7 linked regions of the Sus scrofa genome follow. The protein of the gene in region 1 interacts with the protein of each later gene in a biochemical or structural test. Links are inferred from orthologs where the notes say so. Each region holds a gene or a part of one and is shown on either strand. Other genes may lie near its edges.

Region 1 (3,500 bases):
ATAGTTCCTAGTTGGATTTGTTAACCACTGAGCCGTGACAGGAACTCTGAAGGGTCTCTTCTTTAAAGAGGAACAGAAGTGCCTCTGCTGTCACTGCCACTTACTACATTTTCAACATGTTACTTATCTATAAATATGTACGGAGGGTGGGACCATATCTAGAAGGTAAATGTATACAGTACAAAATCAAAGATAATTTTTGCGGGGTGATATATACTTTCTCTCTTATCTATATGTGATCCACACTAGAAGATGTAATATGGTTGCATCTACCGAAAAGCGATTTCTGAAAATGGAAGCTTTCCATTACCTTCCAAAACCACTGGATGACTTGATGATTTACACTGTAGCCATTTTTGTACTTTGTGTGTTCTCTCCAGTCATTCACGTCGACATCTCCCAATCCACACATGAGAAGCTACAAAATAGAAAATGTCAAACCACAAGCAAGAAAAATTGGCACAAAGGTCTTGTTTGAAGATAAGCACGATATTTCTCACCTCTAGTTCATTTTCATCAAAAATTTTGATGAGATCCTGTGGAATCAGTTCAAAAAATCCCTAGTGGAAAGAATATATTTCAAACTCCGGTTAGCAGAGTCAGAGGGTAACCCTGTATTTCAGCTTCGGGCATTACTGGAGAAATCCCAAGGCCACACAGATTCCTACCACTACACACCCGTGGGCTCTTAACTGACAATTCAATACTGGCAAGACGAGATATGTGTCTGTTCTCTCACTGATCCCTCAAAGTGGCCGTTTTAAAACTCTGCACTTTTCAAGCCTCCTTCTCTTCCATATCATCCCTTCTTCACAGCAGATAATATCTATTTTAGAATGAAAATTGAGGCGACGCTGCAGGATGGAATTCCCTCAGCCTTCTGCATCCCCCCAGACCAACCAGCACCAACATCCATGAGGGCTTCCTCCCCCGCCCTGGGGAGAGGGACCACTTCCTCTCAGTGCTTCTTCTGCCTCAAGGATGTCATCTCACGACATTTTTATCAGCTCACTCTTTATGCATCGAAATTCGTTCAAGCCATATCTACCTTAAAAACAAAACAAAAAGGCAAGCCCCTCTCTTTTCTCGTCACAGTCATGTTCTGGACAGTGTTACTGTACCTTCCAAAGCTACCTGCTCACCTCCATCTCTCCCTCAACCACTGCAATCTGACCTCTTCATCAGTGCTCTCCTGAAGCTGTCCTAGAGAAAGTCAAAGACAGCTTTGCAGCTGCCTCTGATAAACACTTTCTAGATCCCCACAGTATCGGACTTCTCTGCACTATGATATTGTTGACAACACCTATGCTCTTGAAACTCTGTCTGCTATTCATGGTTTATCTCCTATGTCTTCATCTGCCTTAGCTGATTTCCACTGATGTTTCTTCTGCTGTTCATTCCTTAAATGTTGGTGTTCTCACAGCCCCCCGTGTGGCCATCCACTGTCACCATTCTTAGGGTTCTTTGGAATTTTCCATCCTGTCTAGTCCACAGTTGCACTACACACATGCAGATGATCCCCACGCTGCCATCCTTTAAATCACCCAATGCTATAGCTCTCCCTTCCTGAGGGCCATTCAGATACACACACAGCTCTCTTCCCACCATCCGGACCGTTTCTCACCCAGCTAGCCTCCGCTGCTAGTCCTGCCCTCCTCTAGTTCACTGCATACCCCTTCAAGAATGATCTGGCCAAAATGTAACACCGAATCCTGGTGTTTTATGTTTAATACCATTTAATGCCACCTTCTTTTCTCACTGTCTGGATTTCAGTGAAAACTATACATAAACAGGCCCGCCATCATCTGGTTCTGCTCAGCTTTCCAGGCTTAGTTTTAGCTCTTTCATTCCTTTTTTTTTTTTTAGGGCCACACCTGTGGCATATGGAAGTTCCCAGGCTAGGGGTTGAATTAGAGCTGCAGCTGCCAGCCTATACCACAGCCACAGCACATCTGCGACCTACACCGCAGCTCACGACAACACTGGAGCCTTAACCCAATGAGCGAGGCCATTACCCTCATGGTACTAGTTGGGTTTTGCTCAGCCACAATGGCATCCTCTTACCAATAAGGTAACTGCTGGCACTTTCTCTAAGGTGTGCATAGTCCGTCTTACTGCCAGACTTCACATGTGCTGCTCCCTCTGCTTAGAGTTGCATTTCCTCCATCTCTGTGGCTGGCCAGTCCCTGCCCCTGCCTCCTCCCCTCCCTGCTCTGGTGTCTACACCTCTCCTCTGCTTACCTAGCACTTCAGGTTCCCTCTGTCCATTTCACCCTTTAGATGCTCTGTTCCTTGACAGCAGGCCCTATGTCTTTTTGTCTTGCATAGCACCAGACACAGAGTCAGTGCTTGCTACTGAATACAGGAAAAAGCATGTGATAAATATTTAACAGAAGGCCTTTATTAGCGTAAGAAATGATGACAGCCTAAATGTCCATCAATTGGGAAGAATAACCTGGGAATTTACATCATGAATAAAATGCAGCTACAAAGAAAGGTCACTAAATATGTTGATCTGTTAAGACCTCCAAAAATATTTGATAAGAGAAAGCAAGTCACAAGCCACCATGGACAGTGTGAGCCCATTACAGAAAGAAGCAAATGGTAGACTCTGCCACCCCTCTAGCACTCGTGTTCCTCTGTTCACCTAAGGTTACATAAGGTGGCAGGAGTGGAACTATAAAAGGTGAGAGGAAACGACAGTTATTAAGGGGGGAGGTCAACATTTACTGTATGGATTCTTAAATGACTGTGTTTTAATTGAACACCTATTCATTTACTATTTTGCTAATACGAAGATATACTTACAAATGGTCTTAAAAAGTAAGCCACATGCTACTTTTTCTCTGGTATAATAGGGCCCAATTATTTAAAACTTATGGACTGGACTGGGAAATTACAGAACAGCAAACAAAAGAAAATGAATACCTCCTTAAAAGCAGCCATTTGCTTCTGGATTCGGTTTACAAATCGCCATTGTATTACAAGACTAAAAGAAACAAAACATTTCATCTTTTCCATAGGAACCAAGAAAAAATGTTAAGGTACATGTATTTTGATTAGAAACAAACAAACAAAAAAAACAAAGGCTAGGTAGGCCCAAGGAAAAAGTTGAATGTAATATGACATTGTGATAAAAAGAGAAAAAAGAGGGAATTTCCTGGCGGCTTAGTAGTTAAAGACTCAGCATTGTCACTGATGTGACTGGTTTGATCCCTGGCTCTGAGAGCTTCTGCATGCTATGGATATGGCCAATAAATAAATAATAAGTAAACAATACTTTTTTATTTTAAAAAAGCAAGAAAACAAAATTGAGACTCTGACTCATTGAGAAAGAAGGCACAAAATTATTTCCCTTAAAGTATTTATAGTTACAACAAAATACTTACTAAATATATTCCTTTTTGTTCTTATTGGTGACAACTATTTCTGATCCACCATTTTTCAACTCATGTTGATGTGTCTAAAATTAAGCATAATACCTTGATATGTTATTTTAG
Region 2 (3,500 bases), about 89 Mb from region 1:
TATCATACAAGTCTTTCATAATCACTAGTGGTTGACTTATGTGAGTCTATTTCATTTATCATAAAATCTATGGGTGGGAAGCTTAGAAGAGCCAATAAAAGATTACATGTAGGGACATGTACTGACTTATTAGGTAACTGAAATTGGATGTAATACCCCCTTATTCCTGCAGCATGCTAGATGACAAAGACTTGACTCCAAGCACCTTCTCACCTGAATATCTCTGTAGGAAAGCAATAGATTTATGACAATATCTGCTGTCAGCACTTCAATATTATCCACCCGCTGTCGAATTCTTGCCAATTCAGCTGCCAATTCTTTACCAGTGTATAAGTTACGAGCTTTCCTGATATCGTTGAGTATAGACTCTCGGAAATACTGGCTGGTGAGAAAGCACACAATTTTAATGGTTAATATTATAAAGAATTTCAACGAAAAGCAATGATTTTATAAGGAAAGGAATGATATCTGCAGAATTCATACCTTTCAGTTCATTAAGATGCATAAAATGAATATCTCATCTATCTGGTATTATTGAAAAATCAGGCTTCCTATTCTTTTAACACTCTACCTTGCTTCAGAAAGAATTAAAGGTAAAGACACTCTACGCTAACGAATTTTCCAAGACCTTGCAATGTACCATTTTAGAATGTTAAAAATTTATTTTTCATTTTGCTGTTTGGAGTAGAAATTATTCTAAATAATTACGTGTGCCTATGATTTGAACATAATATAACCTTTATTTTCTAATCCAGCATCATTTATTATGCCTGCTTTTAACTAAAATACAATAATGCTTTCAGCAATTTTTAGAGTTCTTATCCTTACACTAAAAGTCCTTGGACATTTATTTAGATAATATTTCTGTACTAATTTGGAATATATTTTTAGCTCTACCATTACTATAATACCGTTAGCAGTCTTTTTTCTGATTTCAAATTGTTCTCCCATGAATAAAGTGGACAAAATGCAGGAGGTAGACTGTACAGCATCTCTTTTATCTACTTAGAGGATATTACATATTTTTTCCTGATTCTTGGCTGAGTACTATATGTAGGAAACATCTGATAAAATACACAGGTAGGAGTTCTCTTGTGGCGCAGTGGGTTAAGGATCTGGCATCGTCACTGCAGTGGCAAGGGTTCAATCCCTGGCCTTGGAAACTTCCACATACCACAGGCATGGCCAAAAAAAAAAAAAAAAAAAGATGTACGAATAAATGATGTAGACGAGCACATCATTATCCTCGCCAAATGGCATTATGACATTTTACCTGGAACTTGCTTGTGCCACCTTCAAAAGCTGAATGAAACGATCCACAAGAGGTAAGCAGATGGGTCCGAGTAGCAGCTCGAAGTTCGGCTGCATGAGCTCTGTCAAGCCCTTCATGAAGCTGCTATCACAGCAGTAGACCTTATTATGCGGAGTTATCATGTACGGAACAAACGTGTAATTCCCAGTGCACATCTGTGGAAAGAGGAGTCACAGGAGGTGATCAGCTGGCCTGCAGATTCCACACGAATGTAACCCCAAACCTTACTTCGGTGAGCCATTTGAAACAATAACCCTGAATGTGAAGGGAAATCAAAAAGCCTCTTCTTTAGGACCTATGAAAATGGAAATCTCGGGAGTTCCTGTCGAGGTGCAGTGGAAACGAATCTGACTACGAACCATAAGGTTGCAGGTTCTATCCCTGGCCTTGCTCAGTGGGTTAAGGATGCTGCATTGCCGTGAGCTGCGGTGTACGTCACAGATGCGGCTCAGATCTGGCATTGCTGTGGCTGTGGTGTAGGCCAGTGGCTACAGCTCCGATTAGACCCCTAGCCTGGGAGCCTCCATATGCCATGGGAGCGGCCCTAAAAAGACAAAAGACAAAAAAAAGAAAAAAAGAAAAAAGAAAAGAAAGAAAATAGGCATTTCCTCCAATTTCTTTTACTGCTTCCTTCAAATAATTCGGACTTACAGATGATTTAAAAAATAGTATGGCACAGTTTCTATCAATCGATTAAATATTTATTCACCATTTCTCATGGCTAAGGCATGATATACGCAGTAGGAAAAACAGGGTAATTAAAAAAAAGCCTTTAGCCTTCTGGCAACTTGAATTTTACTCAGGGTGACACCGCATAAATACACAGAAATGACCCGAGCTAATGTGGAAGGGCGCCCCACGTGACAGGCACGTGTGAGAGATGCCAGAATAAGCTCCTCTCCTCCAGGCTGCTCCATCGCGGCTCTGGGCGTGTGCCAGTTACTAAGTCTAGAGACCCTGACGTTATCCCTGATGCTTCCATCTTCTTCATCTCCCACAGCCTGTCCAAGTCCTGTCTGTTCTACCTCTAAAACATATCTCGTGTTTGTCCATTTCCGTCCATCTTCTCGGCCAGCACTGCGGACCACGTCATCAGCCTGCCCAGCCTGAGCTGCCCTCACTGGCTCTTAGCTGGGCTCCCTGCTTCCCATCTTGCCTGCCAATCTATTATCTACCCACCTGTCAAAGTGGTCTTTTAACAACCTATATCAGAGGACTTCCCTCAGCTGCTTCAAGCCCTCTCCCTTGCTCCTGGGATGAAGATAAAACAGGGCACGGTAGCCCACTAGGGCTTGACGATCCAAACCCCGCCTCTCTCTCTAACTGCAGCCCCTGCCACTCTGCGCTCACCCATCACGCCCTGCTATCTGTTCCTGACGGCGTCAAGTGAGGGTGCCCTAGTGCAAACCAAAGGGGTGCTGGGAAGAATAAAGGAGAAATTGGATTGAACACCCCTGAGTAAGAGGATCTGACCGGAGCTTAGGGCTCAGGGAAGGGACTGAATGCAAAGTTAAGGATTTCAAACTCTATATGCTGGGCAGTGGGAAGCACAGAAGGCTTCAGAGCAGGAAAGGAAACGTAAACAAAATTATGCATTTTGACAGTCTGGGCAGAAAAGAGAATGAACTGAAAGAGAAAGAAACGAGATTTAAGGAAATTAGGTGGGAAGCTACAAAGCATGACCAGATTGGCAGCAGTGGTAGTGGACGTGTGCACCATAGTCAAAAAGAAAGAATCCTCAAGACTAGTCAGCTGGCTACAGGTACTGAAAGAGAGGAAGAAGAAAGAAGAAAGGCAACTCCACCGTCCTAAATGAGGCTCCCTAAAGAAGAGTGGGACACTTAAAAAGCAAAAATTCAGAAAATAGGGGAGTTCCCGTCGTGGCGCAGTGGCTAACGAATCCGACTAGGAACCATGAGATTGCGGGTTCGATCCCTGCCCTTGCTCAGTGGGTTAATGATCCGGCGTTGCCGTGAGCTGTGCCATGAGACGCGGCTCGGATCCTGCGTTGCTGTGGCTCTGGCGTAGGCTGGCGGCTACAGCTCCAATTCGACCCCTAGCCTGGGAACCTCCATATGCCGCTGGAGCGGCCCAAGAAATGGCAAAAAGACAAAAAAAACAAAAAAAATTCAGAAAATAGAACCAGACTTGAGGAGTTCCTGCTGTGGCTCAGTGGGTTAAGAACCCA
Region 3 (2,673 bases), on another chromosome or scaffold:
GGCGTTGCCGTGAGCTGTGGTGTAGGTTGCAGACGCGGCTCGGATCCTGCATTGCTGTGGCTCTGGTGTAGGCCAGTGGCTCCAGCTCCTATTCGACCCCTAGCCTGGGAACCTCCATATGCCGAGGGAGTGGCCCAAGAAATAGCAAAAAGACAAAAAAAAAATTTAAAAATAAAGTTATTGTCTATATGGAAAGAAACAAGTTTGCAAATAAGGAGACTCTGTAATGGCCAATTCTAATGTAAATAATGGTATACTGAGGTCACAATACTCTGTTATGGCCTATAGAATATTGAATACAGGGAGTTCTTGTCATGGCTCAGTGGAAATGAATTTGACCAGGAACCATGAGGTTACAGGTTCGGTCCCTGCCCTTGCTCAGTGGGTTAAGGATCCGGCATTGCCGTGAGCTGTGGTGTGGGTTGCAGACACGACTCGGATCTGGCGTTGCTGTGGCTTTGGCGTAGGCTAGCAGCAACAGCTCCGATTAGACCCCTGGGAACTTCCATATGCCATGGGCACAGCCCTAAGAAGACCCCCCCCCCAAAAAAAAATATTGGATACGGTCCTACAATATCGAATATTGAATATGGCCTACAGAATATTGAATTATTGGTTAATTAATTACATTGATTTATCTGTGTGTCAGGAATGAATATATCTAGGTTATATGGTCTTCCTGTAGAAATACTTCAGGTAACATTTCTGAAAAACATGCTAGTTTTTCAGTAAAGTTTTGTGTTTATATCCGTTAAACACGTGATATGCTAGAAGTTAAGGCAGGGTAAAACAGAATCTCACGTTTCTGCATACTTATCCGGTCTCCTTCTCCCAAAGCTCCCTACCCCAGCCAAAAAAAGAAACAAAAGGAAAGCATTACTGCAGGATACATATTTTTTAAAAATAATTCTTTTCTCCATTTTTTAAAATTTAGGAACAAGTTCCAGTTCCGGTCTATCATCCAACACCTAGCCAGACTCGCCTAGCAACTCAGCTGACTGAAGAGGAACAAATTAGGATAGCTCAAAGAATAGGCCTTATACAGCATCTGCCTAAAGGAGTTTATGACCCTGGAAGAGATGGATCAGAAAAAAAGATCCGGGAGTAAGTTTAATTTATACATGTTTTTAAGGTCTATCTTCAGAGATTTGTTTTTAAAAAATATTATCCTGCATTTGGAAGCAGATATTTAATCAGTTTGTGCAAGAAAATATTTAGAGGTAGCAATTAAGAAATTTTCATATTAAAGTAGGTAAGAAGTAACTGATGGTGCAACTTCTGTTTTTTATGTTGCCTATGTCCATTTGGATGACAGTGTCAGTTAAAAATGATTCACCTAGTGATAATAAGTGTGAACTAGTGCCAACATTGCTGGTGGCCTTTTCGTCTAGGAAAGAAATTTGGCAATATGTCAAGAACTTTTATTTATTTATTTATTTGTCTTTTTTTTTTTTTTTTTTTTTTTTTTTTTTTGTTGCTATTTCTTGGGCCGCTCCCGCGGCATATGGAGGTTCCCAGGCTAGGGGTCCAATTGGAGCTGTAGCCACCGGCCTACGCCAGAGCCACAGCAACGCGGGATCCGAGCCGTGTCTGCAACCTACACCACAGCTCACGGCAACGCCGGATCGTTAACCCACTGAGCAAGGGCAGGGACCGAACCCGCGACCTCATGGTTCCTAGTCGGATTCGTTAACCACTGCGCCACGACGGGAACTCCTCAAGAACTTTTAGACCTAAACTATTTGAGAGAGTTAATTCTAGAATCTGTCCAAAAATACATAACTCACTCCAACCCCTAGAGCTTTATGTACAAAGATATTCACCGTAAGTTGGGTTTTTAAATTTGTTTTGATTTGTTTGTTTGTTTTTTGGTGGTTTTTTTTCGGGGGGGGGGGGGGGCTGTGTCCACAGCATACAAAAAGTTCCCAGGCCAGGGACCAAACCAGTGCCACATCAGTGACCTGAGCCGCTGCAGTGACAATGCTGAATCCTTAACCCACTGCACCATAAGGGAACTGCCAGCATAGTTTTATTTAGTGGAAAACTACAGTAGAGGAATAGTTAAGTAAATTGAGGTGTAGGATATTTTGAACAGTTATGCAGCCATTAAAATTGTTTGCTAAGAGTTTTAGTGATATGAGGAAAATCTTACCTAGAGTATTGATTTCTGAAACATTGCAGAGTTGGGTTCTTCTTGAATCTGTAGAAAGGTATAGTGAGCTTTAAACTGGGGTTAATGAAGAGACCTTTAGGCTGCAACAGCCCAGTAAGTACACTGAAATTAGTGGTTCTGTTTTTACATATAGTAATTAAAGTGAAAACTGTCTTACTCCTGGATTTACACTAAAAACTCCTTTCAAGTAAACAAAATTAATCTAACATGATTCCTACTTACTAAGCTTCACATTCTCCTTCAGGTGTCTTCTGTCATCTGTAGCTGTTTCACAAGCACAGTGCTAGCAATGGACCTGATCCCCATGTGATACTGTTTTTGTTGCCCTGTTCATTGCTCTCAAAGGCTTTAAATTCCCAGGTGATTGAAATAAGAGATTGTGCTAGGTAACACTTATTAGGAAAAAATTCAGTCTGCTTGCTTAGGTAGTAGGATGATAGGCAGGATATTTTCTTCTGTTCATTTTAACACTGTCTTTATACTAGGTATGTTAAAGAGTT
Region 4 (3,500 bases), on another chromosome or scaffold:
AGTAGAACTTTTATAGATGTTTCTAACACGTAGTCTTAGTTGTCATCAACTGCTATTAAATATGGAATTCTAAAAACCAGAATCATTCTGAGAAGTTAGAGGCGTCAAAACTCAGACAATGCACGAACAAATATTTCAGCTAAGAGTCTCACTTCCCGAATGTGATTTCTCTACATGATTGAGTCAAATCACCTTTTACATGATGAAATTTGTTTCAAAAAAATGGTTAGAACTTTTCCTTCCATAACCAAGGTGCTTCATAACTGGGGATTATATATTAAAAACAAAAAAAACAAAAAAACTCATCAAAGAATGCTAATATTCACAATTCAAAGACTTGATAACCACAGCCTGGTTTTATTCACATAGCTCTGTTTTCTCAGCTATGAAAAGTACAATCCACCTCTTTTCTCTCCTCCAACCTTAATGCCAGTTTACTAAACACTTGGGGGAAGGGGGCTACCAATGATTTCCATAATAAACAAAAATTGCATAAAAAAACCAACTGAAAAGAAAAAAATGTTTTTGATACACTATATTCTGCAGTACACATTCTTAGTATAGGCAATTAGCTGACTTGTGCCAAATTCTTAGGAACAGTAAACACACATGCACACACAAACACACTCTTCGCTCAGTTACACACGTCAGACCAGAAGTTACTTGCACAAGTGTGAAACCAACAAAATGTGGGGGCAGCATGTAGATCACAGGCTCAGTGCTATTGCAGTTCTGAAGGCCAAATTTCTCTCCAGAGGATCAGCTCAAGGTACTCTCCTTAGCCTCTGTAACTCTGAAGTTAGATGAAAACCCTTCTGCACTTGATTGTAAAACTTAACGAATAGATTTTTCCTGTGCCATTAGTCATGCAAATGATAAATACTTTACGGCTGTAAGAACCAAAAATGTCAGAACTTGAGCACCTTTTCAAAACAAAATATTCACTCTAGCTTTATTTGCCACTTCAGGAATCAGGGCAAAATTGTTATAAGAAAACCTTATATATAATTCTCCAGGAAAATGAAAGATAAAGGTGTTTTTTGTTTTTGTTTTTTGTCTCTTACCTTCCACTCTATAATTTATGTTCTACTTTGAAGCCCAAATTATTTCACATGGTTATTCCATGTTTTAAATGCCTGCAATAAAGCTCTGCTACAGCAAAAACTGATTTTGAAAGCAGGTTAGCCAAGAATCACACCACAACCATAGCCCTTAAAGGCAAGAAGGAATCTGCTGCTATAACGAACGGAAAAATGCTAGATATTTGTACTGTCCTGGGAGGTTTTTTTCTGCAAACGGGAACCTGTAGCTGCAACATGGCTTCGTTTTCCGTACATGGTGGTGCTAGTTCATCTACTAGAACGCTTCTCGTTAGTAAGGCTAGGCAATCTCTCTTCATCACAGTTGCTTCCTTCTTGTGCAGTAAAGTAAAAGACCTTCCCTGCTTGGTTAACAAGAGAGTCGGTCTGGGGTTTCAATCCGGATCAAACCCTTGTGAGAGTCTCCATTTTCTGGGCAAAGCAGGTGGTAACACATTCTGAAGCCAGGCTGTATTTTTGACACAACCTGTTCTAACTTTCGCTCTACCAGGGACTGATGCGTGAGTTAGTTCTGTGTCACAAATTAGGATAACATCGACAATTAAGCATCGAGTCTCAAAAACAGAAAGGTGTCAGCTGAGCAAAGGATCTCTCCTCATAATGCTGCTGGCAGGTCAGCTGTTACTATCTTACTTGACGCAATACATTGGTTAGAAGCACTATCTCAGTTCCTGAAATCCAGTACTCTCGTAGGAAAATATTTCTCCTTTACTTATTATTATTTTTTTTTTAAGAAGACAAAATATTTTAATTGTGAGCGGTCATAGGAATTCTTCTGGTTTCTCTCCCATGGTCATTTTCAATGGATGCCATAGTTGCGTCTGTCCCCTGGGTGACAGCGCCATCCTCCGGTCCAAGGAGACCCCGCCCTGCCGAGGGACTGGCTCCGCCCTCAGCTGCAGGTGCCGGGAGCAGACCGAGGGCAGTGGTGGACGCCGGGGCTATGAAGCCAAATGTTCCTCGGGGACATCGGCAGACAATCCCTGCTCCACTCCCGACAAGGGCTGCTCCTCCCCTGGAGAGCACGGCACGCGTCCTGGGGGCTCCGCAGCCCGGCGGGCGAGGTCTGCAGCGCCCGCGACGTGGGGCGGCTCCCGACCAGGACAGCCGGCGGCCGCGGGTGCTATTGAATGTTACAGGCGGAGCAGCACGGGTCGTCCTTGTCCGGCTGCGCCGCGTAGTTCATCTGCCTCACGATTTCCGCAAAGAGTTCGTCCACCATCGTTTTACTCTTGGCAGACGTTTCCATGAAGGGGCAGCCCCACTCCTCCGCCAGGGCCCTGCCTTCGCCGGAGGACACCTCCCTCTCGCTTTCCAGGTCCACCTTGTTCCCAACCAGGATGACTGGCACTTTCTCATACCTGTGGGAGAAGCGACAAAACACACAGACGTTGCAGGAGTTATCGGCACAGAGTTAAGCAGCTGGAAGGCATTTTCTCTTCTTTCACGATATTCGACTACCAATAAATACTCTCTTGAGTGGCATGAAGAATGATTTGCTCCAGTTGGCCCTAACATCTGCCTTAAGGCATTTGGAAGCAGCCTCCTCGTGGATCATAAGCAGCTTTTTCAAAATGATGTTTTTAATTAATTATACATCTTTTAAAATCAATTTACCTTTCCAGATAGACGCGGAAAAGTAGTCTCCGAATCTCCGAAGAAGTCCCCTTAGATGGATTAACGTAAACCTTTTTCGTTATAAGAGATGCTTACTCAAAATTTCACTTGATGAGGTAATAGCTCTACTGAGTAAACAAATAATTTATAATTTTATATAATCTCAGCACTTTAATGTTCTACAAGTCTGTAAAACTGATGTTCGAACAGTTCCAATATAAGAAAAGAGCTAGCAGAACTCATGAGGATAGACCCCATCAAGTATAACCATATTCTATCTCTTTACAAAAACCCTTATAGATGAGCCTGTTGAAAGACAGCTATGGTTCTTTTCAGCCTGACATGGACTGAAACATTTCATTTTTTTTTAATTTTTTTTTTTTTTTTTTTGCTTTTTAGGGCTGCACACGTGGCATATAGAAGTTTCCAGGTAGGGGTCTAATCAGAGCTGCAGCTGTTGGCCTACGCCACAGCCACAGCCATGCAGGATCCGAGCCACGTCTGCGACCTATGCCACGGTTCATGGCAACACTGGATCCTTAACCCACTGAGTGAGGCTAGGGATCGAACCCGCAACCTCTTGGTTCCTAGTCGGATTCTTTTCCGCTGCGCCATGATGGGAACTCCTGGACTGAGACATTTCAATCATTAGCTTTATTTGATGTTCTCTCTTCTTTTCCTTCCTGACTAGAATCAGTGTGATACAGACTCAGTGCGTGTCCCCTCAAAATTCCTGTTGAAGCCTAATCCCCAATGTGACAGTACTTAGGAGGCCAGGCCTCT
Region 5 (3,167 bases), about 86 Mb from region 1:
ACTTCAAAGGCCTGCAAGATCCGGGGTCTACTGGGAGGCTGGCTTTCTTTAGACTGCTTCCTGATAAAACTGCTAGCTTTGAGGCTGATTGGCCACTTATACGTCCTGACATTTACAAAGCTATTGGGCATCCCTCAGATAGCTTATGTGGGGATTTAGAAACCCTTATGTCACAGATCTTGCAAACAGCTAGTTTTAATTAAAGCAACGTGAGGCCTTGGAATTCCTCATGCCTCCAACAGCCAATGTGTTTTACTCACACTGAATTGCCCCCCGCCCCCCAAATCCAAGAGCAGTTGATTCTTTCAGTAGTTAAAAGCCTTAGGGCACTTCTCTCTTCCTGGCGGGGGTGGGGGTGCAGGCACCAAATCAAGAGTGCGCCTACCTCAGGTGTGCCGCAGAAGGTGGATGTCGTGCCGTTGTGTTCAATGTTCTCCTTGCAGAGTCCAAAGTCGGTAAGGACAATGTGTCCCTGTGAATCTAGCAAAATATTCTCTGGTTTTAAGTCTCTGTAAAAAAAAGAATAGTCACATAAGTAAATTTCACTACATGAGCAACCCTCTGTAAAAGACCACTGCTGGGGCTGTTAGGCATTTCACATTCACTGGAGTTGTGAATATGAAAGGGAGTCCTTGTTCTGTTCATCTCCTCTGGATTAGGCACGATCCTCGCTGGCTAGTTCCCTAGTGGCACGGAGTCAAAGACAGCTCACATGCTCAGGGATCTGGGTTTAGGTAACCAAGCTGTGCCTTGACACAATGATTTTAAGACCCCGTCAAAGGCTAGGTCAAAACCTAGGGCTATGTTATCTTCTGTCTCCTTTATGCACAGAAGGGAGCCTTAAGAGCTCTTCAGCTCACCTATAAACGATGTTCAGAGAGTGCAGGTAACCCAAGGCACTGGCTATTTCAGCAGCATAGAACCGAGCCCGTGGTTCCAGGAAGCATCGCTCCCTCTGGAGATGGTAGAACAACTGCAAGAGACAAAACAGAGTTAGCAGAGCTGCCAAAGCCTGAGGACAATGCCTAGAATTAGTCTTGACATATATAGCTAAAGAGGACAATGGCAGGAAGCGGCCCTAAATAGTCTATTAACTATTTGAAAGCTGGCTAAAAGCAGGTTCAAAGGGAATGTTCATTCTGATAACTTTTCCCCCCACTGAGTATCTTTTCAACACTTTCCTCTCAGCAGGCTGCCCACAGACACCCAAGGTCACCTCCTAACACCTCTGCTCACCTCTCCACCGTTAATGTAGTCTAGGACAAAGTACAGTTTGTCAGCAGTCTGGAAAGAGAAATGAAGGCCCACCAGGAAAGGGTGTTTCACATTCTTCAGGAGAACATTCCGCTCCGACATAATGTGCTTTTCCTATGAAAAGGACAATGAAGAGTTAGTGGCAAATTGCAACTCGGCTCCAAAGATTCCAAGGTAAAGTCTGTGAATGTCTTATCTCCAACTTCCACCCACCAAGCCCAACTCATACCTCCTTCTTTTTCAGGATCGCCTTCTTTTGTAAAACTTTGACTGCATAGAATGCTTCTTCTGCTTTGTGTCTTGCTAGAAGAACCTGAAATTTAAATTAAAAGTCAATTTTGCTGGCCACATTCAGGGAGTATGTAAAATGAGCATACGAAGGACTGCAAATAATGAAAAATTCAGATGTGAAATTACCTTTCCAAAACTGCCCTTCCCAATCACTTTCAAGAAGTGAAAGTCAGACGGTTTAGCATGAGGATTGGAAGATGGGCCCAGGTTGATTTGCTGAGAAGGACTTGGCTGGAAAATAAAATGTTTTCTTTTAATAGCCTTGCTTCAAAGGAAGATTATCAGTTATACAGTACAGGCAATGTAAAGGAGAATACATCTACAGATGACTGAGGCAGGTCCCCATATATCTATAAACACATTCCAAACTACTTTTCATCTATACATGTGACTATCGTATGGAAATTGTACAGTCGTGCTATTGTTAAACAGAAAATACCCTTATGAAATATGCCTTTTAAAATACTCCACTGACTCATACTTAAGTGCTTACTTATGTCACTTGTTTGCCATGCACTAATGAGGCATTCCTGCCTTGACACTAACTTCTAGAAATGCTGTTTTAACTCAACAATGTAGGAAGACTTATATGACTCATTTACAAGATTTCTCCATTGATGCATCACAACAGAGGACACTTACAGGAGGAGAAGGGTTGGCATTCATAAGCTCAGGCTCCTGAGGTTGAGAGATTTTCAAAATGGACTGAACTTCAGAGCTGCAAAGAAAGGAAGAAGTTAGAACCTGCTCGCTCTCCACAAGGGGGCAGAACAACACCAACAGTGAATTTCTGGCTCAACTTTTCCGGAGAATTCAGTGTTTCAACTAAAAACATCCAAATCAACTACTCAGCTAAAGAAAATAATCGCCAAAGAAAAGAATAAACCCAGTTAACTACAGAGAGGACGGTTGTCCTTTGTGGAGAGAGGGGATTAATTAGGCACACATGAAAGTTTCCTCTTGAATTTCTAGAACAAGCCCAATCAGCTAATTAATTCTAATGTTTCAAATGTTTTAAATAATTAGAACCTAAAGAGAAAACGGACCCGCCCCCTCCCCCCCAGAAAGTCTTTAGCATCCTGATCCATATACTGATGAGAATGTGTCTTCACTACTGGTAAATGGAAAATTTTACTACTTATGTTTATTTTCCCAAATCGCCCCCCAACTTACTGTTTGCATGCATAGGAATTATTGGCAATCTTCTGAATAAAGTCGTTCAGGCCCATCCTTCTCTGTTTCATGAAAGCTGTGAATTAGAGAGGAGAAATACATGTTTAGACGGTATTGTAACATCCAACGCCACGCACACTAATCTGATCCGGGACTTTGCAAAATTTCCACTTCGCGAAACCTAGAAATCCAGCCGTATTCCTACACTCACCGATGAGAATTGCTACCATTCCCCTCATTCTGGAGTAAGTGAGTGTGTTCCTAGCAGCCTCGGTTTTCACTGTCATCGTCACAGAGAACAGGGAGTTGCTAGCGAAGGGAGACCTGCTCAGCCAACACTGCGCTCCCGCACTGCCACCGCCTTTATAAGCGTTTTGTCGCCGCGGGGGCGGGGCCCACGCAACAATGAGGAAGTGGCGCTGCCTGGCCCCGCCCCGGCCCCGCCCCCG
Region 6 (4,263 bases), on another chromosome or scaffold:
GGCATGTGCAGCCTGGCCGGCGTGAGGCAGCAGGGAGTTGCGTCTGCACCATTTTAGACTTGTCCGGCACTAAAATCAACCCCAAAGCTGGCCCGCAGGCACAATAAAGAGGGAACCCAAAGACCCTCTGACCTCCCCACCATGGTGGACACGGACCCTTCCTCAGAGACGATCCCGGCCCTGCCTTAAACGGCCCATAGTCTCCTCACCCCTTCTTTGGAGCAACTTCTCCATGACCTCAAGCTGGTTTGACTCAGCACAGAGCAGCCCCTTACCTTTAATGTAAATACGGAAGATGTCATCCTTCACATACGACATCGCCATCGTCAGTTCCTCGTCACTGGAAAAGGCAACCAAGTCCCCGTCCTCATCTAGAATGTTTAAAAGACAGCGCATCAACACCCAGTTGGACACAAGCTGCTGAAAGGACTGAGGCCAGTGCCAAAGGGGCCTGTGCAGGGCTATAAACTGACGCCCACCTGGGTGAGCCAGGGGCAAGCAGGGCTGGGGCCGAACTTCTCATTCACCCTGCCACTGCCTGGAAGGTGAGCACTCCAAGCTGGGCCCAGGCACACTTGGGAGGTGGAGTGCCTGTGTGCAGTGGGCAGCAGTGGTAGCACCCAGCCACCTGCCACTCTGCCTCTGGGCCAGCTGCTCTGTCAGAAAGGTGCTGTCTCCATCTACATCCAACCAGACCCTGTCAACTGTGGGAGGTCCCCATCTGCAACTGGCTCCTTGGCGTTCCAGCCCCTCCAAAATTCTTGGACCTCTTGTGGCTTAGGAAAGTAGAATATATCTTCCTGCTTCCTCCCCAACGAAGCTAAAATTATGTCTTTGTATGAAGCCTCCAACTTTTAGATGTCAGCTGAAATGATTTAAAGCACCACCACACAGAACCAACCACACAATACATGTGCAAGCCAGGTCAGGTCTATGGACCACCAAACACAACATCTACCATAAAATCAGGGACTGTGTCAAAAAGCAGAAATAGGGAGTTCCCGTTGTGGCTCAGCAGAAATAAACCCGACTAGTATCCATGAGGATGTGGGTTCAATCCCTGGCCTCGCTCAGTGGGTTAAGGATCTGGCGTTGCCATGAGCTGTGGTGTAAGTGGCAGACACAGCTCAGATCTGGTGTTGCTGTGGCTGTGGCGTAGGCCGGCAGCTGCAGCTCTGATTCAACCCTCAGCCTGGGAACTTCCATATGCCTCCGGTGTGACCCTAAAGACAAAAAAAAAAAAAAAAAAAAAAGGCAGAAACAACCTAAACACCCATCAGCTAATGAATGGCTAAACAAGATGTGGCATGACCATAAGACAATATTATTCATCCACAAAAAGGAATTAAGTACTGATACATACTACAACATAAGTAAACCTTGAAAATAGTATGTAAATAAGAGATGCCAGTTACAAGACTACATATTTTTACATGAAATGTCCAGAATAGGGGAATCCATAGAGATTAGGGGTCGCTTGGGGATTGGAGGATAGGATGATGGGGATGGGAGGAAGCTAACAGAGTTGGTGTATAAAGTGATGAAAATGTTCCCAGATGATTGTGATAATGGCTGCGCAAATCTGTGAATATACTAAAAACTCAACACTTTAAACTACAGTATGTGAACAGGAACTCAAAGTTATTTTTTTGAAAAAGCTAGGGGCTGGCGAGCTGGCAGCAGTCCTGAGGGAGGTCCCGGCACGGCCCCACCCACCGGCGGGCCTGGTCCGCCCGCCTCCCTCCCAGTCACAACAACCTCCCCCAACTCCACCCCGCGCAGCCACCGGTCACGCCAGCTCAGCTAGAAACTAGGCAGGCTCGTGAGCTCTGTCCCTACACCAACACTTCTCGAGAATGTTTTCACCTTGTCCCTCTGTCCGCTGCCAACGGGATAACGTCTGGATCCCGCCTGGCCTTGGGCAACCTATGGTCTCTCCTCCCCACCTCCGGCCAGACTGTGCAGCCCTGAGGGCTCCCCACTGCTTATTTACCCTCGTCACTTTTCTGCGTAGCCAGCCCTTCCCCCTCATCTGCCCGCCCAGGCTCTTCCGGGTTACTATCCGAACCCCCCATCTGGGGCTAGCGGGCCCCAGCTGGGCAGTAGCCAAGTGGCAGTGTAACCCGAGTGCCCCTCTAACCACCCCGTGCCCGCCGTGAGGACGCCCCCGCGCGCCCTCCCCAAGATCTGCACCATCATGGTGGGGGGAGGGGAGGCCTCTTACGTCGCCGGGCCCGATCCGCTAGGGGACTGGCAGCGCCTGACCCCACAGGTCTGGCTGTGGTCACCACTCCTGGCTACCAGAATGGCACCCAAGGCCGAAATGGGAACCCACGCGGGCCACCGCCCACCCAACGAGCGATCAAACTCCCGCAGGCGGCCCCAAGCCCCACGAGAAGGAAGGGAGCAGCGACCCTGCCCGGCAGGGCAGCACTGCGTCACGGCCCCGCACCGCTCCCCGAGAGCGCCCGGCCTGCTCACCGCGGTAGTGCGCCTGGAAGCCGCCGGGCCGTAGCACGGGGAACAGGGCGGCCACCCGGCTCAACAGCCGCTCGCAAGGTCCGGGGCCAGCCGCGGCCTCGGCTTCCGCCTCGGGCTCCGGGCTGAAACAGAAGCTGAAGCGGCGAATCTCGCGGGCCGCATCCTCCTTGCCCAGAAGGTAGGCCTTCACGGTGAGCGACGCCATGACCACCAGTTGGGGAGCAAGAGAAGAGCCCGGCGGTGGTAGCGGCGGCGGCGGCGGCAGCGGGAGGGGACGCGCGGCCTTTGTAGGGAACGCGGGTGAAGCCCCGCCCCTCATCGCTTCCTGGGGGCGGGGCCTGAGTGTCAGAGGTCTGGCTCCAGCCACCCCGGCCGTCGCGCGAGAGCCGCCCTACAGGAGCCCCAGCCTCGCTACCTCTCCCCGCCGTTGAGCCCCCTCATTCCCGACCCCTCTCCTCACCGCCCCAAGTGCACCAGGGACACCAAGAGGCCGGCCCCGCACGCTGACATCTAAGTCTGGCGCCTACCTCTATACCTGGGGCAAGGGACCGGCCAGGGTCCCGCCCTAGACCCCTCCCAGGCCTGACCAGGCCGTGACTCAGCAAAACGGAACCCAGGCCACCGGGGATGCACAGCTCAGGAGGGAGGTGGGCAACAGAGGCTGGAAGCCAGGAAGAGGGGACACTGCTGACACTGCTAGCTACAACAAATTGGCTCCCGAGGCGCTGTCTTGACCTTGCCACTCTTGTCAAGGGCCCGCTCTTGCCACCAGTTTCTCAGGTGGCAGCCCACTACGCCGCCCCCAGCATCCCCCCTAATGGCCCTTTACTGGGTTAAAGCACAGACACTCAACTCAAACCTGAGCACCAGAGGAGCTTCCAGTTTAATAGGGGGTAGGGTTGAGAGATGCCAGAAGAGCACAGGATCTTCCCATCCCCACCTTGCTGGGGGGTCTGCTAAGGCTTCCTGGAGCCTCAGTGGCCACCAAATGTTCACTGAAGCCCTAAGGACTCCCCATCGGTACTCCCCATCCATCCCCACTTGTCAGCTCAAGGTTCAGCTCAGCAAATGGTGCCCAATGGCCTGAAAGATCTCAGGTCTGTTGGCCTCATGGGCAGCCCAGGGATTACATCAACAGCCCCCACCCTACCCCACCCCCAGGAGCCAAGAAACACTCTTTTATGTAACCGAAGTGACCTGTTCAAAGTGCCTAGGGGAAGGGGGTTGTTGGGGGAGGAGGTGCCTTAGAAGAAGGTAAGCAGGCGGGTATGTCACCCTATGAATCCTCCCAAGTAGGGCTCTGTAGGTAGAAAGTCAGACCTGCTGAGTCACACTCACTTTTTTCATGGTGGGGTTTGTGGAAGTCAGTAAAACTTAAAGGGATGGGAGTTCCCATCGTGGCTCAGCGGAAACAAATCTGACTAGCATCATGAGGACGCAGGTTTGATCCCTGGCCTTGCTCAGTGGGTTAACAATCTGGTGTTGCCCTGAGCTATGGTGTAAATTGCAGACTAGCCTCAGATCCTGGGTTGCTGCGGCTGTGGTGGAGGCCAGCGGCTACGGCTCTGATTCGACCCCTAGCTTGGGAATCTCCATATGCCTCAGGTGCAGTCCTAAAAAGACAAAAACAAACAAACAAACAAAAAACCTTAAGGGAATGGGAAACCCAGAGACCATGGGGAAGGTAGATTGGGTTTGGCTAGTTTGCTGACTTGCTTGTGGAATCACAGCAGGAACCTAGCCACAGATGTGGCTTGTTCCTCCCAGAGAGTTTCAGAGTAG
Region 7 (4,298 bases), about 100 Mb from region 1:
AGCATGATCAAAGGGGAGAGTGCTGAGTCTTTTATCTGTGCCTTGCTAAAGAAAGGCTCTGCAGAGCTGTGTGATTTATAAGAGATTGAGCTGGTGAAACAAGGGCCAATGGAGGGATCTCCTGGATAGAACTTTGCCCAGTACCACTCACCAGACCACCACCATCTCAGGGCTGCTGGGGCATCCAGCCCATCCTGCCCATCTCTAAATGGATGACAGTGCTGGATAAAAATGCTGATGTAATTATGCAGCCGATCAGCCCACTTCGTAGATCATGATGCTGAGACCTACTGAGATTCCTCATTGTCACCACCACGTAAGTGGCTGCTTTGCTATTCACTGAACACCAGTTTGTGCCAAGCACTGTGGCAAGTACCCCACTATAGGCTTTGATTTCATCCTCACAATAATCCTCTGGGGTAGATATGATGCTCATTTCACATCTGACATCCCTCAGACCTGAGGCTGGTAAATGCCCAAGGTTACACACCAGAGAACGGCAGAACCAGCATTCACAGCAGCTGGCCTGGGACCACCGCCCCCCACCCCCCAGCCAGTGTCTTTTCTGCCACATCACCCTTTCCTGAAATGAAGCTGTCACAAGGAGCATTCAGTGGGCTCTCGTGACTGAGGCAGCTGATTCAATTCCCAGCATGCCTGCACTCTAATTTTACCCCCCAGGTCTGTGGTCATCCCTCAGGATGTTATGACACAGACAGAGCTCTGTTCCAGCTTTTCACACATAGTCCCAGTGCACTCATAGAGAGTCAAGAATGCTAGGATGTGTCAAATGCACCAAAAGAGCCTACTAAACACCCTGGCAGGGCTCTCAGATGTCACCCAAATACCTCCTACAATAGAGTTGCCTGAGAAGCAGTTCAAGTGCAGATCCTGGGACTCCCCACCCCAGACCTGTGGAGTCAGCCTCTCCATGGGTCTAGGTAGCAGCACTTGGGAAGCTGCATTTTCACAAGCTCCATAGTTGGCTTATGCCCTCTCAACTGAGAAACTCTTGACTATGGTTTCAGAGATAGAGTCTGTTGTGTCATCATAAAAAAGCTGAAATAATATCCTACCTAATACCATGTGCAGTGTTCCCCCTAAGAGGAAATTTTACTCATGGGATTTTTTTTCAGGTGATCTCCCCCCTCACCTTTCAGACGAACACACAGGGATGTTAGAGAATCCCAATAGGGTCTTTCTAAGGAAATGCTCCATCCTGAATTCCTCCTTCATGCCTTTGATGGGTTCTACATCTCTCCTACCCCTGCTAGTTCACTCTAGTAAAGATATTCAGCAGTTCTTCCCTGAGAATGCAGGTTTGCAGGAAGTTCTGAGCAGACCACTTAAGAGGTGGTTTAGGAGGTCCCACTGTGGCTCAGTGGGTTAGGGACCCAACCTTGTCTATGTGAAGATGTGGTTTTGATCTCCGGCCACAATCAGTAGGTTAAGGATCCAGTGTTGCTGCAACTACAGCATAGCTTGCAGATGTGGCTCGAATATGGTATTACTATGACTGTGGCGTAGGCCTCAGCTGCAGATCTAATTCAACCCCTAGCTAGGGAACTTCCACATGCCACAGGTGCAGCCATAAAAAGAAAAAAAAGAGGAGTTCCCATCATGGTTCAGAGGAAACAAATCCAACTTAGGAACCATGAGGTCGTGGGTTTGATCTCTGGCCTTGCTCAGTGGGTTAAGGATCTGGCATTGCTGTAAACTGTGGTATAGGCCAGCAACCATAGTTCCAATTGGACCCCCAGACTGGGAACCTCCATATGCTGCAGGTGTGGCCCTAAAAAGCCAAAAAAAAAAAAAAAAAAAAAAAGAGAAGGAAAGAAAAAGAAAAAGAGAGAGAAGTGGTTCAAATAAAAACCAAGTTCCTTGTTTGTCCTTTTGGAGTCTCCACTAAAAGGGGGGAGCCCCCTCCCTACCCCTTGTCCACTCTAGTCCATGCAGTGTGTCCTGCAGTCTGTGTTCCCATCACAGCACTTAACACTTGCTGAAATTACTCTTAGAGTTACTACCTCACCCTCCCAATAGATTGTAAGATTTTTTTCAAAGATAAGAATAGTGGTATACAATGCTGGTATACAATGCTTAGCACTTAGAAATGGTTTTTTTTTTTATTTTAAATGCTTAAATGCTTATTTTAAATTAATTCATAATATGAAACACCTTTCCTTAGGATAAAGTATTGATGAAAATCTTATGACCACCACCTTCACCCTGGAGTCAGTCATTTGCTCTTTGGCAACTTGCCTGTGTTCTGTCTACAAATCACATCCAGGAACCCTAGTGAAACAGACAGGCAAGGCTTGAGGAAAAAGGCATCTTGCTCCCAGATAGATGTTTTTCAGCCTAGGAACCAAATAGCTAAGAATTCAGGCAAAAATGGCAAAATCCAAATTTTTACCTTTCCTATCTCCTTGCCTCTTTGGCCTCAGAGACATTTGAGGCCCCTCAGAGGACCACAGGGTCTCCTCACCTCATTGCCAGGGATTTTACTTTCTGGAGAAATAAACACTAGAGGGATTTACAGACAGGCATGTGCTGGTGAAAGCCAGCAGACTGTATCAGCAAACAGCAAACTGGAAATGGCGCTGGGTCCATTGCTGAACTTACTCTTCAGCTGTGATGTGGGAGTGGCCGTGCCCCTTCTTAGAGGAACCATAGAAGAAGTGAGCCTCTTCTCTTGGCATCTTGTGGGGTCAGGTCACAGGACACCTAACAGCAAGGGTACGCAAGTATCACTTCATGCATCCAGAGTGTTCTTGCAATCTCAAATATCCACGAAGACATTTTTGCCAGATGACTGATAATAAGAGCTGAACCCCCTGGTTTCTCTCTGTGAGAGAATTTGTACCTGTTTCTTTCACTGGTAACAGGTAAAAATTGTTCAGGTTTCTAACCCCTTTCTACCAACTGAAAATTAAGCAAGGAAGAAACCACAAACAAAGGCAAAGATCTTTCAAATTGAGTTATTATTTGTGGCGTGGAAGGGGCGGGGTACAGAAACTTCAATTTGACTCTATACATAAACTTGTAGAGAAAAAAAAAAACCCATTGTTATTCATTCCTTACTTTCCCTGGCTGATGGCTGTCGTTAATCTGAGGAATTGTTTCTCTCCAAAGGATTTATTTACTTATTTATTTATTTAAGACCCACACCCAGGGCATGTGGAAGTTCCCAGGTAGGGGTCAAATCACAGCTGCCAGCCTATGCCACAGCAGTGCCAGAACTGAGCCGCGTCTGTGACCTACACCATAGCTCATGGCAGTGCCAGAACCTTAACCCACTGAGCAAAGCCAGGGATCAAACCTACATCCTTATGGATACTAGTCAGGTTTGTTACCACTGAGCCACAGAGGGAACTCCTACAAAGGTTTTATTTTATATCAATCCTTGGACAAATAGAAGGCTATGGTGACATAATGCATGTCACCTAGCACAGCACCCTCCAAGCCCATTTTCTAACAAAGGAACGGCCCAAAACAGCTGCCTGGGTGTGTCCACATTCACCCATCCAAGGTAAGCCCAGGAAGCCTGACTCTGTCTAACAGTTTGTTTTCCCTCCTACCAAAATCATTTTCTTCATCTCCCTGCTCAAGTCTCATGACTAGGGTTTAAAAATACATATATATATTTCTAATTGTAATACAAAATTTTAAGCAGTAATGAAAAAAAATAGACAAAAAGCTCATGAACTTCAGTGGTTGTGATTAAAGTATGCTGATCAAAAACTAACAGTGGCTTCTCTTCTCTCCTTACTGTTGTGTATTTTTCTTTCCACATATTATTCTCATGAATCCCAAAGGTCTGATTTCCAGAGAGTTATATTAATGAGCCTGTTTAGAATAGCTGGAGAGACATGGGAGATGGGACAGAGAGTTGATCCCATGAACCCTTACCACGGGGCATTTCAAGTGTAATCTGCCCTTCCCAGTTGTGAAGAAGAAACCACACTTAAACCCACTGGTCATCTCAGGTGAATAATGCGGGGGTGAACCCTCTGTTCAGAATTAGAGGCACAATACTTGATTATTTTTGCATTCAATTATTTGTGTAGATCTCTACTTCCAGCTTTGAGCCTTGGCAAACAGTGCAGAGATTGCACATGCACCTCACCCCATCTGAGCCAAGAAAAGTGGTCTTGAAGGGACCAGGCACAGGTGCCCTCAAGCCAGCTGCAGCCTGAATGGTGGCTTCTCCTGGCTCTCTGCTTTGCTTCAAGGCAGTCTAGAGAGAGGACCTAGGGGAGACTCTGTGAACCTTCAGAAGTCGGAGGATTATCAACGTT

Evidence for each region.
Region 2: the proteins of NEDD4 (region 1) and MAP3K5 form a complex in vitro, tested with the Homo sapiens proteins (2 studies listed by BioGRID, with this or other methods). The link is inferred for Sus scrofa from reciprocal best matches to the Homo sapiens genes NEDD4 and MAP3K5.
Region 3: the proteins of NEDD4 (region 1) and RNF11 form a complex in vitro, tested with the Homo sapiens proteins (3 studies listed by BioGRID and IntAct, with this or other methods). The link is inferred for Sus scrofa from reciprocal best matches to the Homo sapiens genes NEDD4 and RNF11.
Region 4: the proteins of NEDD4 (region 1) and RAP2A form a complex in vitro, tested with the Homo sapiens proteins (2 studies listed by BioGRID). The link is inferred for Sus scrofa from reciprocal best matches to the Homo sapiens genes NEDD4 and RAP2A.
Region 5: the proteins of NEDD4 (region 1) and SGK1 form a complex in vitro, tested with the Homo sapiens proteins (3 studies listed by BioGRID, with this or other methods). The link is inferred for Sus scrofa from reciprocal best matches to the Homo sapiens genes NEDD4 and SGK1.
Region 6: of the proteins of NEDD4 (region 1) and SQSTM1, one has a biochemical effect on the other in vitro, tested with the Homo sapiens proteins (2 studies listed by BioGRID). The link is inferred for Sus scrofa from reciprocal best matches to the Homo sapiens genes NEDD4 and SQSTM1.
Region 7: the proteins of NEDD4 (region 1) and MLANA form a complex in vitro, tested with the Homo sapiens proteins (2 studies listed by BioGRID and IntAct, with this or other methods). The link is inferred for Sus scrofa from reciprocal best matches to the Homo sapiens genes NEDD4 and MLANA.

What each region holds. Positions count from the first base shown.
Region 1 is NC_010443.5:116,059,707-116,063,206, reverse strand, and holds part of NEDD4 (E3 ubiquitin-protein ligase NEDD4), read right to left. Parts: intron 3,464-3,500; coding exon 3,390-3,463; intron 2,990-3,389; coding exon 2,929-2,989; intron 561-2,928; coding exon 501-560; intron 419-500; coding exon 311-418; intron 1-310. UniProt on the Homo sapiens protein: E3 ubiquitin-protein ligase which accepts ubiquitin from an E2 ubiquitin-conjugating enzyme in the form of a thioester and then directly transfers the ubiquitin to targeted substrates. Specifically ubiquitinates 'Lys-63' in target proteins.
Region 2 is NC_010443.5:27,470,643-27,474,142, reverse strand, and holds part of MAP3K5 (mitogen-activated protein kinase kinase kinase 5), read right to left. Parts: intron 1,468-3,500; coding exon 1,274-1,467; intron 383-1,273; coding exon 214-382; intron 1-213. UniProt on the Homo sapiens protein: Serine/threonine kinase which acts as an essential component of the MAP kinase signal transduction pathway. Plays an important role in the cascades of cellular responses evoked by changes in the environment.
Region 3 is NC_010448.4:160,878,041-160,880,713, reverse strand, and holds part of RNF11 (RING finger protein 11), read left to right. Parts: intron 1-934; coding exon 935-1,104; intron 1,105-2,673. UniProt on the Homo sapiens protein: Essential component of a ubiquitin-editing protein complex, comprising also TNFAIP3, ITCH and TAX1BP1, that ensures the transient nature of inflammatory signaling pathways. Promotes the association of TNFAIP3 to RIPK1 after TNF stimulation.
Region 4 is NC_010453.5:66,713,662-66,717,161, reverse strand, and holds part of RAP2A (ras-related protein Rap-2a), read right to left. Parts: intron 2,462-3,500; coding exon 2,224-2,461; 3' UTR 1-2,223. UniProt on the Homo sapiens protein: Small GTP-binding protein which cycles between a GDP-bound inactive and a GTP-bound active form. In its active form interacts with and regulates several effectors including MAP4K4, MINK1 and TNIK.
Region 5 is NC_010443.5:29,747,786-29,750,952, reverse strand, and holds part of SGK1 (serine/threonine-protein kinase Sgk1), read right to left. Parts: intron 3,059-3,167; exon of another isoform or gene 3,006-3,058; coding exon of another isoform or gene 2,930-3,005; intron 2,795-2,929; coding exon 2,719-2,794; intron 2,264-2,718; coding exon 2,188-2,263; intron 1,777-2,187; coding exon 1,672-1,776; intron 1,568-1,671; coding exon 1,484-1,567; intron 1,369-1,483; coding exon 1,237-1,368; intron 974-1,236; coding exon 861-973; intron 510-860; coding exon 386-509; intron 1-385. UniProt on the Homo sapiens protein: Serine/threonine-protein kinase which is involved in the regulation of a wide variety of ion channels, membrane transporters, cellular enzymes, transcription factors, neuronal excitability, cell growth, proliferation, survival, migration and apoptosis.
Region 6 is NC_010444.4:78,761,199-78,765,461, forward strand, and holds the start of SQSTM1 (sequestosome-1), read right to left. Parts: upstream 2,801-4,263; coding exon 2,482-2,800; intron 372-2,481; coding exon 276-371; intron 1-275. UniProt on the Homo sapiens protein: Molecular adapter required for selective macroautophagy (aggrephagy) by acting as a bridge between polyubiquitinated proteins and autophagosomes.
Region 7 is NC_010443.5:216,242,661-216,246,958, forward strand, and holds the start of MLANA (melanoma antigen recognized by T-cells 1), read right to left. Parts: upstream 2,801-4,298; 5' UTR 2,700-2,800; coding exon 2,623-2,699; intron 1-2,622. UniProt on the Homo sapiens protein: Involved in melanosome biogenesis by ensuring the stability of GPR143. Plays a vital role in the expression, stability, trafficking, and processing of melanocyte protein PMEL, which is critical to the formation of stage II melanosomes.